2 linked regions of the Arabidopsis thaliana genome follow. The protein of the gene in region 1 purifies or fractionates together with the protein of each later gene. This does not show direct contact. Each region holds a gene or a part of one and is shown in the gene's direction. Other genes may lie near its edges.

Region 1 (5,217 bases):
ATGTTTTGAAGAAATCCTAAATGTCTCAACTTTTCTTCAGATTTCCAATCGGGTCTCGTGTAGTTGGAGCTTTCATTATGCCTTGTGGAACCTGTTCTTATTGTGCTAAGGTGAGAACGAAATTGTATTGCTTTCATCGGATTCTCTAATCTGAGAACTGTAGCTTTTTAGCTGATATTTTAATTTGGATACAGGGCCATGATGATCTATGTGAAGACTTCTTTGCTTACAACAGAGCCAAGGGAACTCTTTACGATGGCGAAACTCGTCTCTTTTTGCGACATGATGGTAAATTTGAAGACTTTTTAAACATCAGGTGGCATATTAGGAGAACTGTGATTGTTTTACCTAATTACATTTCTTAATTTCTGGCAGATTCACCAGTGTATATGTATAGTATGGGAGGGATGGCTGAGTACTGTGTTACACCAGCTCATGGTTTAGCTCCTCTACCAGAGTCTTTGCCCTACTCTGAATCTGCCATTCTGGGATGTGCTGTTTTTACAGCATATGGTGCTATGGCTCATGCTGCTGAGATCCGTCCTGGAGATTCTATTGCAGTTATTGGAATTGGTGGTGTGGGCTCCAGGTATGTTAAATGTGTGGCATTTTCTTTTCTTTACCGGATTTGGGTTTTATTGCTTCTTGTATGACCATAACCATCTTTGAGTTGTTGCTTCAGTTGTTTGCAGATCGCAAGGGCTTTTGGAGCCTCGGATATCATTGCTGTGGATGTTCAGGATGATAAATTACAGAAGGCCAAGACACTTGGTGCTACTCATATTGTCAATGCTGCTAAAGAAGATGCTGTTGAAAGGATAAGAGTATGGTTGATTCAAGACCTCTTATTTGTGAAGATGAACCATTGATTGATATAAATATGAAAAACTGTTTCTTCTTCGTAGGAAATAACCGGTGGGATGGGTGTTGATGTTGCTGTTGAAGCCTTGGGAAAGCCTCAAACTTTCATGCAGTGCACACTAAGTGTGAAAGATGGTGGAAAAGCTGTGATGATTGGACTCTCACAAGCTGGTTCCGTTGGAGAAATTGACATAAATCGACTTGTTCGTAGAAAGGTTTGGGGTTCTTACTCTCTCTCTCTCGGCCTTGTTAGAAGAAAGTCTCTGGTACTGAGATTGTCTTTTAAGATCATGATATTGAATCTCTTTTTGTTCTGTTTTTCCAATTTTTTGTGAAGATAAAAGTTATAGGATCTTATGGAGGAAGAGCAAGACAGGATCTTCCTAAAGTAGTGAAATTGGCAGAGTCAGGGATTTTCAATCTCACAAACGCAGTCTCAAGTAAATACAAGTTTGAAGATGCAGGAAAAGCATTTCAAGATCTCAACGAAGGCAAAATCGTGAGCCGAGGTGTTGTTGAGATACTATAACCAATATAGCCTTTTGATTCTGGTTTGTGAATGACTGCTTCACACCTGTTTCACTGAGGTCTATTTTTAGTTGCTACAATCTTCAGACAAGGTCATTGTTAATCTGATATTTGTGTTTGTTTAGACAGTGAAAAGGAAAAAAAAAAACTGTAGTAACTGGACAAAATTTATAATTTTACTGTTTTTCATTTCTTTCCAACATTTATTGTTTTTCTATACTGTTAATATTTTTAATTTCTTCCCTCTTTTCACAATTTTCTACTTTCTAAGAATATTAATAACTGACATATATATAAAAAAACACAATTTATTTCTCTTTTGATAAAATTATCTATAAATCATTAAATCTTTGATGAGAAATATCCAATCTACTAATGTATATCGATGATTTAAATGAAATTACTTATTTGAACACAAAAATAAATGAATTTACTAATAAATAAATAGCGTAGTTGGAGCAAGTGGCTAAAAAAATTACAAATCTAGTTTCCATTCTCAGCGTCGGCTGCTTGGAACGTCACCGTTTTCTGGAAAACGCAATCTTCTCCCTTCCGTGACGTCTCACCGGAATTTTCTCGCTTTTGTCTACTCTCCTCCATCTCCGAGGTTCTCCAAGCTCAGCTCCTCTTCCCATCATTCATCCGACCGCCTTATCCGGTCAGATCCTTTACGTATTTCTATTTTCCTGATCGTCGATTTTTGAGAAATGTAAAAACAGATCGTATAAGGCCTCGAAGTTTTTAATTTGAAAGTGGTATCGAAATTTTTTGGTCTTTGATTAGGTTAGGGCACCGTAGCTCTGGGTATTGAATTTGTAGGGTTTTCCTCTGGTTATTGGTCTTTGGAGCTTGGTAATTTCTGCTGAATTGATTGATCCCTTTTCCATCTTTTGAAGTAAAGTCTCGAGCTTTCGTGTCTCGATGTAGATGAATTCTATTTTGAATATGAGATTTGATAAGACGTCAATTGCTGATAATTTGGAGTCTTTGTGTCTGAATTTGTTCATATGAAGTTTTCTGAGGGATGTGAATTTTATTGTCTGCTAATTTTGAAACGTTCCTTTTGGAATTTGGTTTGTGAGGAGTCCTAGATCTTTTTCTGTGAAGTTTCTTGCTTGTAAGTTTTCTGGATCACTTGATTGAGTCTAGAATCTAGATAGATTACATGTACGGTTTGATTCCTTTGGCTGATTTTCCAAAGTTTTGTTCAAATTTCAGGAGAACTACAAAGAGGAAACCAAGATTGTTTTGTTTTGTTAGACTCTACCCCTTTTCCGATTCACATGGTAAGGACATTGAGGTAGAGAATAATACTAAAAAGCAATGGGAGATGGGAGTTCCAGTAGATCCAACAGCTCAAACAGCACTAGTGAGAAACCAGAGTGGCTGCAACAGTACAATCTCGTTGGTAAGATTGGTGAAGGCACTTATGGTCTTGTTTTCTTGGCTAGAACCAAGACTCCGCCTAAAAGACCTATTGCTATCAAGAAGTTTAAGCAGTCCAAAGATGGAGATGGAGTTTCCCCGACTGCTATCCGCGAGATCATGTTGCTTAGAGAGATTTCCCATGAGAACGTCGTGAAGCTTGTGAATGTCCACATCAATTTTGCAGACATGTCTCTGTATCTTGCCTTTGATTATGCCGAGTACGATCTCTATGAAATCATCAGGCACCACAGAGACAAAGTCGGCCATTCGTTAAACACATACACAGTTAAGTCTTTGCTCTGGCAGCTTCTCAACGGATTGAACTATCTTCACAGTAATTGGATTATACACAGAGATTTGAAACCGTCGAATATCTTGGTTATGGGTGATGCAGAAGAGCACGGAATAGTGAAAATAGCTGATTTCGGGCTCGCAAGGATATATCAAGCTCCGTTGAAACCACTATCGGATAACGGAGTTGTGGTCACAATCTGGTACCGAGCACCAGAGCTGCTTCTTGGTTCGAAGCACTACACGAGCGCTGTTGATATGTGGGCAGTTGGGTGTATATTCGCGGAGTTACTAACTCTTAAACCGTTGTTTCAAGGAGCAGAAGCGAAATCGTCTCAAAACCCTTTCCAGTTAGATCAACTTGACAAGATATTCAAGATCTTAGGCCACCCGACGATGGATAAATGGCCAACACTAGTTAACCTTCCACACTGGCAAAATGATGTTCAACACATTCAAGCTCACAAATACGACAGTGTGGGTCTCCACAACGTGGTTCACCTGAATCAGAAAAGTCCTGCGTATGATCTGTTATCCAAAATGCTGGAATATGATCCTCTAAAGCGGATCACGGCTTCACAAGCACTAGAACACGAGTATTTCCGAATGGATCCTCTCCCAGGACGGAACGCATTTGTAGCCAGCCAACCGATGGAGAAGAATGTGAATTACCCAACTCGTCCAGTAGATACAAACACCGATTTCGAAGGCACGACAAGCATCAATCCGCCTCAAGCAGTAGCAGCAGGAAACGTAGCAGGGAACATGGCAGGAGCTCATGGAATGGGCAGTAGATCGATGCCAAGACCAATGGTTGCACATAACATGCAGAGGATGCAGCAATCTCAAGGCATGATGGCTTATAATTTCCCGGCACAGGCAGGGCTTAACCCGAGTGTTCCGCTGCAGCAGCAGCGCGGGATGGCTCAACCGCACCAGCAGCAACAGCTAAGAAGGAAAGATCCCGGAATGGGTATGTCAGGTTACGCACCTCCTAACAAATCCAGACGCCTCTAAAGGTAAAATCGAGATCATCAGTCTCGGGTTAGAATCTGTGTGTTTGCCGCAGAAGAAAGCGTTGCGATTTGCTTTATAGAGTAGAGTTAGATTGTAATGCAGCATGTGGAATGTTGCTATTCATATGGATGGATTGGATTCTCTGTAGTTTTTGTATAAACATCCTCTCAAGTATTTGTTAATTATATTAGATCATCATTTCTCTTAACATCATTTCTCAAAACGTAGTAAATAGGAGATTTGCCAAGTGAAAAATATATATAATGAGACAGTTATTATGAACACAATTTACAGTTATTATGAACACAATTTTGGTGATGTTTCTACTGTTTATGAAATTTGTTTTTTTTTTACCTGCCAGTCTTATCTATTTACCACCAACATACATTAGAATCTAATGTAATTACATCATCAATCATAGACCTAATGAATATTTAATACCACACAGTTTAAACATTGCTATTAAAGTTTGAAAAGATTATACTTTAGTAAAATAATGTTTTCAAACTTGTATTCAATTATACTACGTAAGCAGTGATCCAATTATTACGAACATAATACTTTTCCAAATCAAAATTTTGTTTTTGTTCACCTTACCATCAGTTTCATAATAGAAATATTATATATATACAACACAAACAAATGAATGAGAAATGTTTTTCTATTATTATGACTTTTATTTAAGATTCAAAAGAACGAAGAAGAGTTATATATATGCTTGTTTGTTTCAGGACAAATACAATAAATAAGTGGATAAGAAAACCACAAACCTTGAACTAGCCTGAAATGTGTGAACCAAGCTATACAAACTGTACGTGATTCTGCATCGTGGAAGTCACAAACAGACTTCTGACTTCTGCTAAAGATAAAACTCACTGTTTGCAAGCAATTTAGTATAAATATGAAGCATTGACCTACCAAGATCGACACAATCACACAGTTTCTTCTTAATTAAACCTAGCTATTTTTGTCTTTAGCAGAAGTCAGAAAGCTAGTTTTGTATTTTTCTTATTTCTTAAATATATGGCGGCCAATGTTATGAGACGGTTTATGATTTAAAGATACACAATGGACCCACGACGTTGCCATAAT
Region 2 (4,771 bases), on another chromosome or scaffold:
TGAAAAGGGATATGACAAACCAACATTGATGAGGTTCCTGGTGGCAAGATCAATGGACCCAGTCAAGGCAGCAAAGATGTTTGTAGATTGGCAAAAATGGAGAGCCTCCATGGTTCCTCCAACTGGATTCATCCCTGAGTCAGAAGTGCAGGATGAATTGGAATTCAGAAAGGTCTGTCTTCAGGGTCCGACCAAATCCGGACACCCATTGGTGCTTGTCATAACCTCTAAGCATTTTGCTTCTAAGGATCCAGCTAACTTCAAGAGTAATCACCTCTCACTTGCTTCTGACCTTTACTTTCGTTGGAAATAATCTGTCCCTTGACTTTCAGTGACTTTTGTATTCATAGAACTGATCAGCTTCTTTCCTGGTTCTCTAATTATTGAGTAGTTTCATTTGACTTCAAATGAATGAAGTTTTTTGAGTCCATCTATGTGTTTTCCTTGAGTTGATTCTTGCGATAATTATCTATGAACTAATCTTTTATCTGTTTGATGTTGCAGAGTTTGTTGTTTATGCGCTAGACAAAACAATCGCAAGGTGTTTACACATTATTGAAACCAAAACACTTCAATAATCTTCCGGTTAGTTGGTTGTGAGACAAGCTTTTTGGTTTTTATGTTTCAGTGGCAACAATGGCAAAGAAGTTGGAGGTGAGAAATTAGTAGCCGTTATTGATCTGGCAAACATTACATACAAGAACCTTGATGCTCGTGGATTGATCACTGGCTTTCAATTCTTACAAGTAAGCATCTCCCTTCTTCCTGAAACAATATAGTTATCACACAAAAAGAAGTCCTGTCTATTAAATTTGGAAAATGTTTCTCTAGTCTTACTACCCGGAACGCCTTGCAAAATGCTACATTTTGCATATGCCCGGATTCTTCGTGACCGTTTGGAAATTCGTCTGCCGTTTTCTAGAGAAAGCAACTCAGGAAAAGGTTTGATCTTTAATCTCCTCTTGATGTATCTATCTCTAATGGTTCTTGAGCAACGAATCACATAAATTATGATTTTGCTGTTGCATAGATTGTGATAGTTACGGATGGAGAAGAACAGAGAAAATTCGAGGAGGAGATCGGAGCAGATGCTTTACCGGAAGAGTACGGTGGCCGAGCTAAGCTCACAGCAATCCAAGATGTTCTTCTTCCTCAGGCTGCTCCAGTAACTCTAACAAACAATAATGTTTAGCTCTTTATTTTTGGAAGCATTAACCTGAATATTTGTAATGGTCAGAACATAACTAGTGGTACATCTCTAAATTTCCAAAAGAAGCAATGAAAACATGAGAAAGTAATGCGAATATATTCAATCTGGTGACTGAGTGCTCGCTCTTGCTTATCTTTTCTTATTCACATCATAAGTAAGCTGTAAAGCAGGATTGATCAACAGACCAGACTAACTTCTAGAAACTTAATGTCCTCTTGTTGTACGTGTAAGATTCCAAAGTTAGCTATAGATGTCTTTGAGCTAAAAACCAGAATCACGAGCTCTTAAATATGATCCCTAAGCCTTGTTATATGACAAAAGACTTTTCAACAACTTAATATTTCCAAAAGAAGAAATGATGAAACACATGAGAAAGTTGTGTGAATATACTCAATCTGGTGAATGAGCAGTTTCAAACATCATGCTGTTTCTGTATCTTAAATTAAACAATCTTGCTGTTTTGAATTTTGAAGATGTTGGTCAATTCACTAACACACTTTAAAGTCCCAAGCTTTTTTCTATCAGCCGCCTCCAAAATCTCTCTATCTCTCTGTCTCTCACTTCTTCTTCCTCACGGCGGCGACAATGGCGACGTTCACTCATCAAACCCCACAAACCCATTTCCTCTCTCGCCTTCCTCTCAGAGCTAAACCTAGACACTTCTCCGCAAGAGTCAAAATGTCTCTCCAAGAATCTGCGCCTTCACTCGCCGTCGTTGGCGTTACCGGAGCCGTCGGACAAGAATTCCTCTCCGTCTTATCCGATCGAGACTTCCCTTATAGCTCCATCAAGATGCTTGCATCGAAACGCTCCGCAGGGAAGCGTGTTGCCTTCGATGGCCATGAATACACGGTGGAGGAGCTCACGGCGGATAGCTTCAACGGTGTAGACATAGCTTTGTTCAGTGCTGGTGGATCCATAAGCAAAGAGTTTGGTCCTCTGGCGGCGGAGAAAGGAACCATTGTTGTTGATAATAGCTCGGCTTTTAGAATGGTTGATGGAGTTCCGCTTGTGATTCCTGAAGTGAATCCAGAAGCAATGAAAGGGATCAAAGTTGGAATGGGCAAAGGGGCTTTGATTGCAAACCCTAATTGCTCCACCATTATCTGTTTGATGGCTGTTACGCCTCTTCATCATCACGCAAAGGTTCGATTTTTATTCTGAAATCTGCTTAGTCCAAAATTTTGAAGGGTAGTTAGAGAATCAATGGAAGCTTTAGACTTTAGTGCTCTGAATAATGTTTGATTGGCTATAATAGGTGAAGAGAATGGTGGTTAGTACATATCAAGCAGCTAGTGGTGCTGGTGCTGCAGCTATGGAAGAGCTTGTTCAGCAGACTCGTGAGGTTTTGTTTCTATTTCAGCCTTCTTTGATTGAATTGTTTAATGATTGTGCTGAGTTGTGATTCTGCTTCTTCGTCTTCTTTGCATTGGTGTGTTTTCTTAGGTTTTAGAGGGTAAACCTCCGACTTGTAACATCTTCGGGCAGCAGGTGAGTGCTTAATTTGCTTATAGTTTGTATTTCGAATGTGCTGATTATGAAATCCCTTTTTGAGTAATGTGATGGTTTTGTATGTTGTTCTGCAGTATGCATTTAACTTGTTTTCACATAATGCTCCTATTCTTGACAACGGTTACAACGAAGAGGAAATGAAACTTGTGAAGGAGACAAGGAAGATCTGGGTGAGTGGTTACTTAAGTGCTATTTTGTGTTCATTTCACTTTGATCTTTTGTTCAAAAATTTTAGATATCTCACACCAATTTCTTGCCCTTCACAGAATGACACAGAAGTAAAAGTAACAGCAACGTGTATACGTGTTCCAGTTATGCGTGCTCATGCAGAGAGTGTGAATCTTCAGTTTGAGAATCCTCTTGATGAGGTAATAACACACGTCGAACCCGATTTCTACTGATTCTGTGTTGTTGTGTTACCTTATGATTTCACTCACTGATATGACAATTTGAATCATAATTTGAAGTTTTAAACCACATTCTATGGTTTTAATTTAACTCAAGCCATTGAAAAATGTGGAGCAGCATGTAATCAGCATAAGTAGGCTTGGATAGTTCTTGATGCACTTGCAGAGTTAAACCCTGAAGTTGTTCTTTGGACTTGCTCTGGTAGCATGTATTGTGATTCTTGTTGCGCAATTAAAAGAATCTTATGATCAAGTTCTTATTCAGGTTATAACGGTTTTTCTTACTGTATCATAACAGAACACAGCAAGGGAGATACTGAAGAAAGCACCTGGAGTTTATATAATAGATGACCGTGCTTCAAATACTTTCCCTACTCCACTCGATGTCTCTAACAAAGACGATGTAGCGGTTGGTAGGATAAGGCGAGACGTGTCTCAAGATGGCAATTTCGGGTAAAGTCTCACTCTTTTCTACTGAATTTGAAGCAAATGTCTTTGCGATATGCCTAAAAGGATATAACTTTGTGAATTCAGGCTGGACATATTCGTTTGTGGAGACCAAATACGCAAAGGAGCTGCTCTGAATGCTGTTCAGATCGCTGAGATGCTTCTCTGAATTTGAACCCGCTCTCACTTTGCTTCTTATGAAATTCTTGACAAAGAGATCACTGTATTATTAGATTTGAGCCAAGAATTTGTCTCATTTTTTGTTCTGTGAGTTTTCTATTTTGACCAATTTTGTTACTTTGATTCATAAAGTTGTCTCTTAAATCTGAACTCATCATGCACACGCTTGAACCTCTTGGCAATTTTCCGGTTCGAATCTGTACCGACTTGGTTGATCTCACCGAAGACAACCGGGCTCCACAATTATTTGACACACTGAAGACTGAACCAGTGGGGGCCCACTTTATTGATAGTTATAGCAAATATTTACTTGTTTAGTGGATATTATCAAATCCTAAAATCACTCCTTCGTTACTAAGACTAGGGAGGAGACCCGCGTTGTTTTTGGTTTTGTTTTTGGTTTTGTTAGTATGCACTAACCACTTCGATTTTTTTTACTGATCTTTGATTAAAAAGGGAATATCTTTGTTATTTGCTAATCTTATCTTTTGATTTCTACATTTTTGTAATCTATGTATAGTTTTACATTTTTTTTTCATGTTGTTACCGGTTATATGCTAGAATTTATAGGATAATAGACCAAACTTACTATCTTGTAAGAATATTTTTTAGAGTTATATATATCTAAGCAATGCATTTGTTACATTGGTCTTGTTTTTATATATTTTATTTTAAATTAAAAATACAATGGAAATCTCTCTCTCTCTCGCATTAAGCGGTTGCTGCAGAGGATAGCGAAGAACAGAGACTAACGACGAAGTTATTTTACACATCGTTGCCATTGTTAATTTTGGCCCAATATGAACCCGCCCATTTGTTTTTTCTCTTTGTGTCTCTGTTAAAATCTTAGAAACTACTCTTTGGTTTGGGGAAGATTTCACTTTTCAACGTCTCTTCGCGAATTAGCCAAAAAGAGTTGGATTATAACAATATTAACATTGAAAGTACGATATGCTTAGATAATTAATTAAAAGTTTGATTTTATTGTAAATATAAATTTCCTTATAACAGCAAG

The links.
Region 2: the proteins of CDKE;1 (region 1) and AT1G14810 purify together in Arabidopsis thaliana (affinity purification with mass spectrometry, with the first as the bait; one large-scale study listed by BioGRID). This does not show direct contact.

The regions. Positions count from the first base shown.
Region 1 is NC_003076.8:25,462,553-25,467,769, reverse strand, and holds CDKE;1 (cyclin-dependent kinase E;1), read left to right. Parts: upstream 1-1,847; 5' UTR 1,848-2,047; intron 2,048-2,607; 5' UTR 2,608-2,712; coding exon 2,713-4,125; 3' UTR 4,126-4,408; downstream 4,409-5,217. Other genes in the region: AT5G63620 (GroES-like zinc-binding alcohol dehydrogenase family protein), read left to right, coding at 41-110, 195-288, 376-589, 683-824, 906-1,083, 1,206-1,390. UniProt on the Arabidopsis thaliana protein: Involved in cell differentiation. Required for the specification of stamen and carpel identities and for the proper termination of stem cells in the floral meristem.
Region 2 is NC_003070.9:5,101,658-5,106,428, reverse strand, and holds AT1G14810 (semialdehyde dehydrogenase family protein), read left to right. Parts: upstream 1-1,578; 5' UTR 1,579-1,795; coding exon 1,796-2,356; intron 2,357-2,468; coding exon 2,469-2,555; intron 2,556-2,656; coding exon 2,657-2,701; intron 2,702-2,796; coding exon 2,797-2,892; intron 2,893-2,988; coding exon 2,989-3,090; intron 3,091-3,125; exon of another isoform or gene 3,126-3,247; coding exon of another isoform or gene 3,248-3,277; exon of another isoform or gene 3,278-3,427; coding exon 3,428-3,582; intron 3,583-3,663; coding exon 3,664-3,745; 3' UTR 3,746-3,870; coding exon of another isoform or gene 3,871-3,991; 3' UTR 3,992-4,005; downstream 4,006-4,771. Other genes in the region: AT1G14820 (Sec14p-like phosphatidylinositol transfer family protein), read left to right, coding at 8-266, 505-541, 629-746, 832-942, 1,031-1,192; AT1G14800 (Nucleic acid-binding, OB-fold-like protein), read right to left, coding at 3,871-3,991.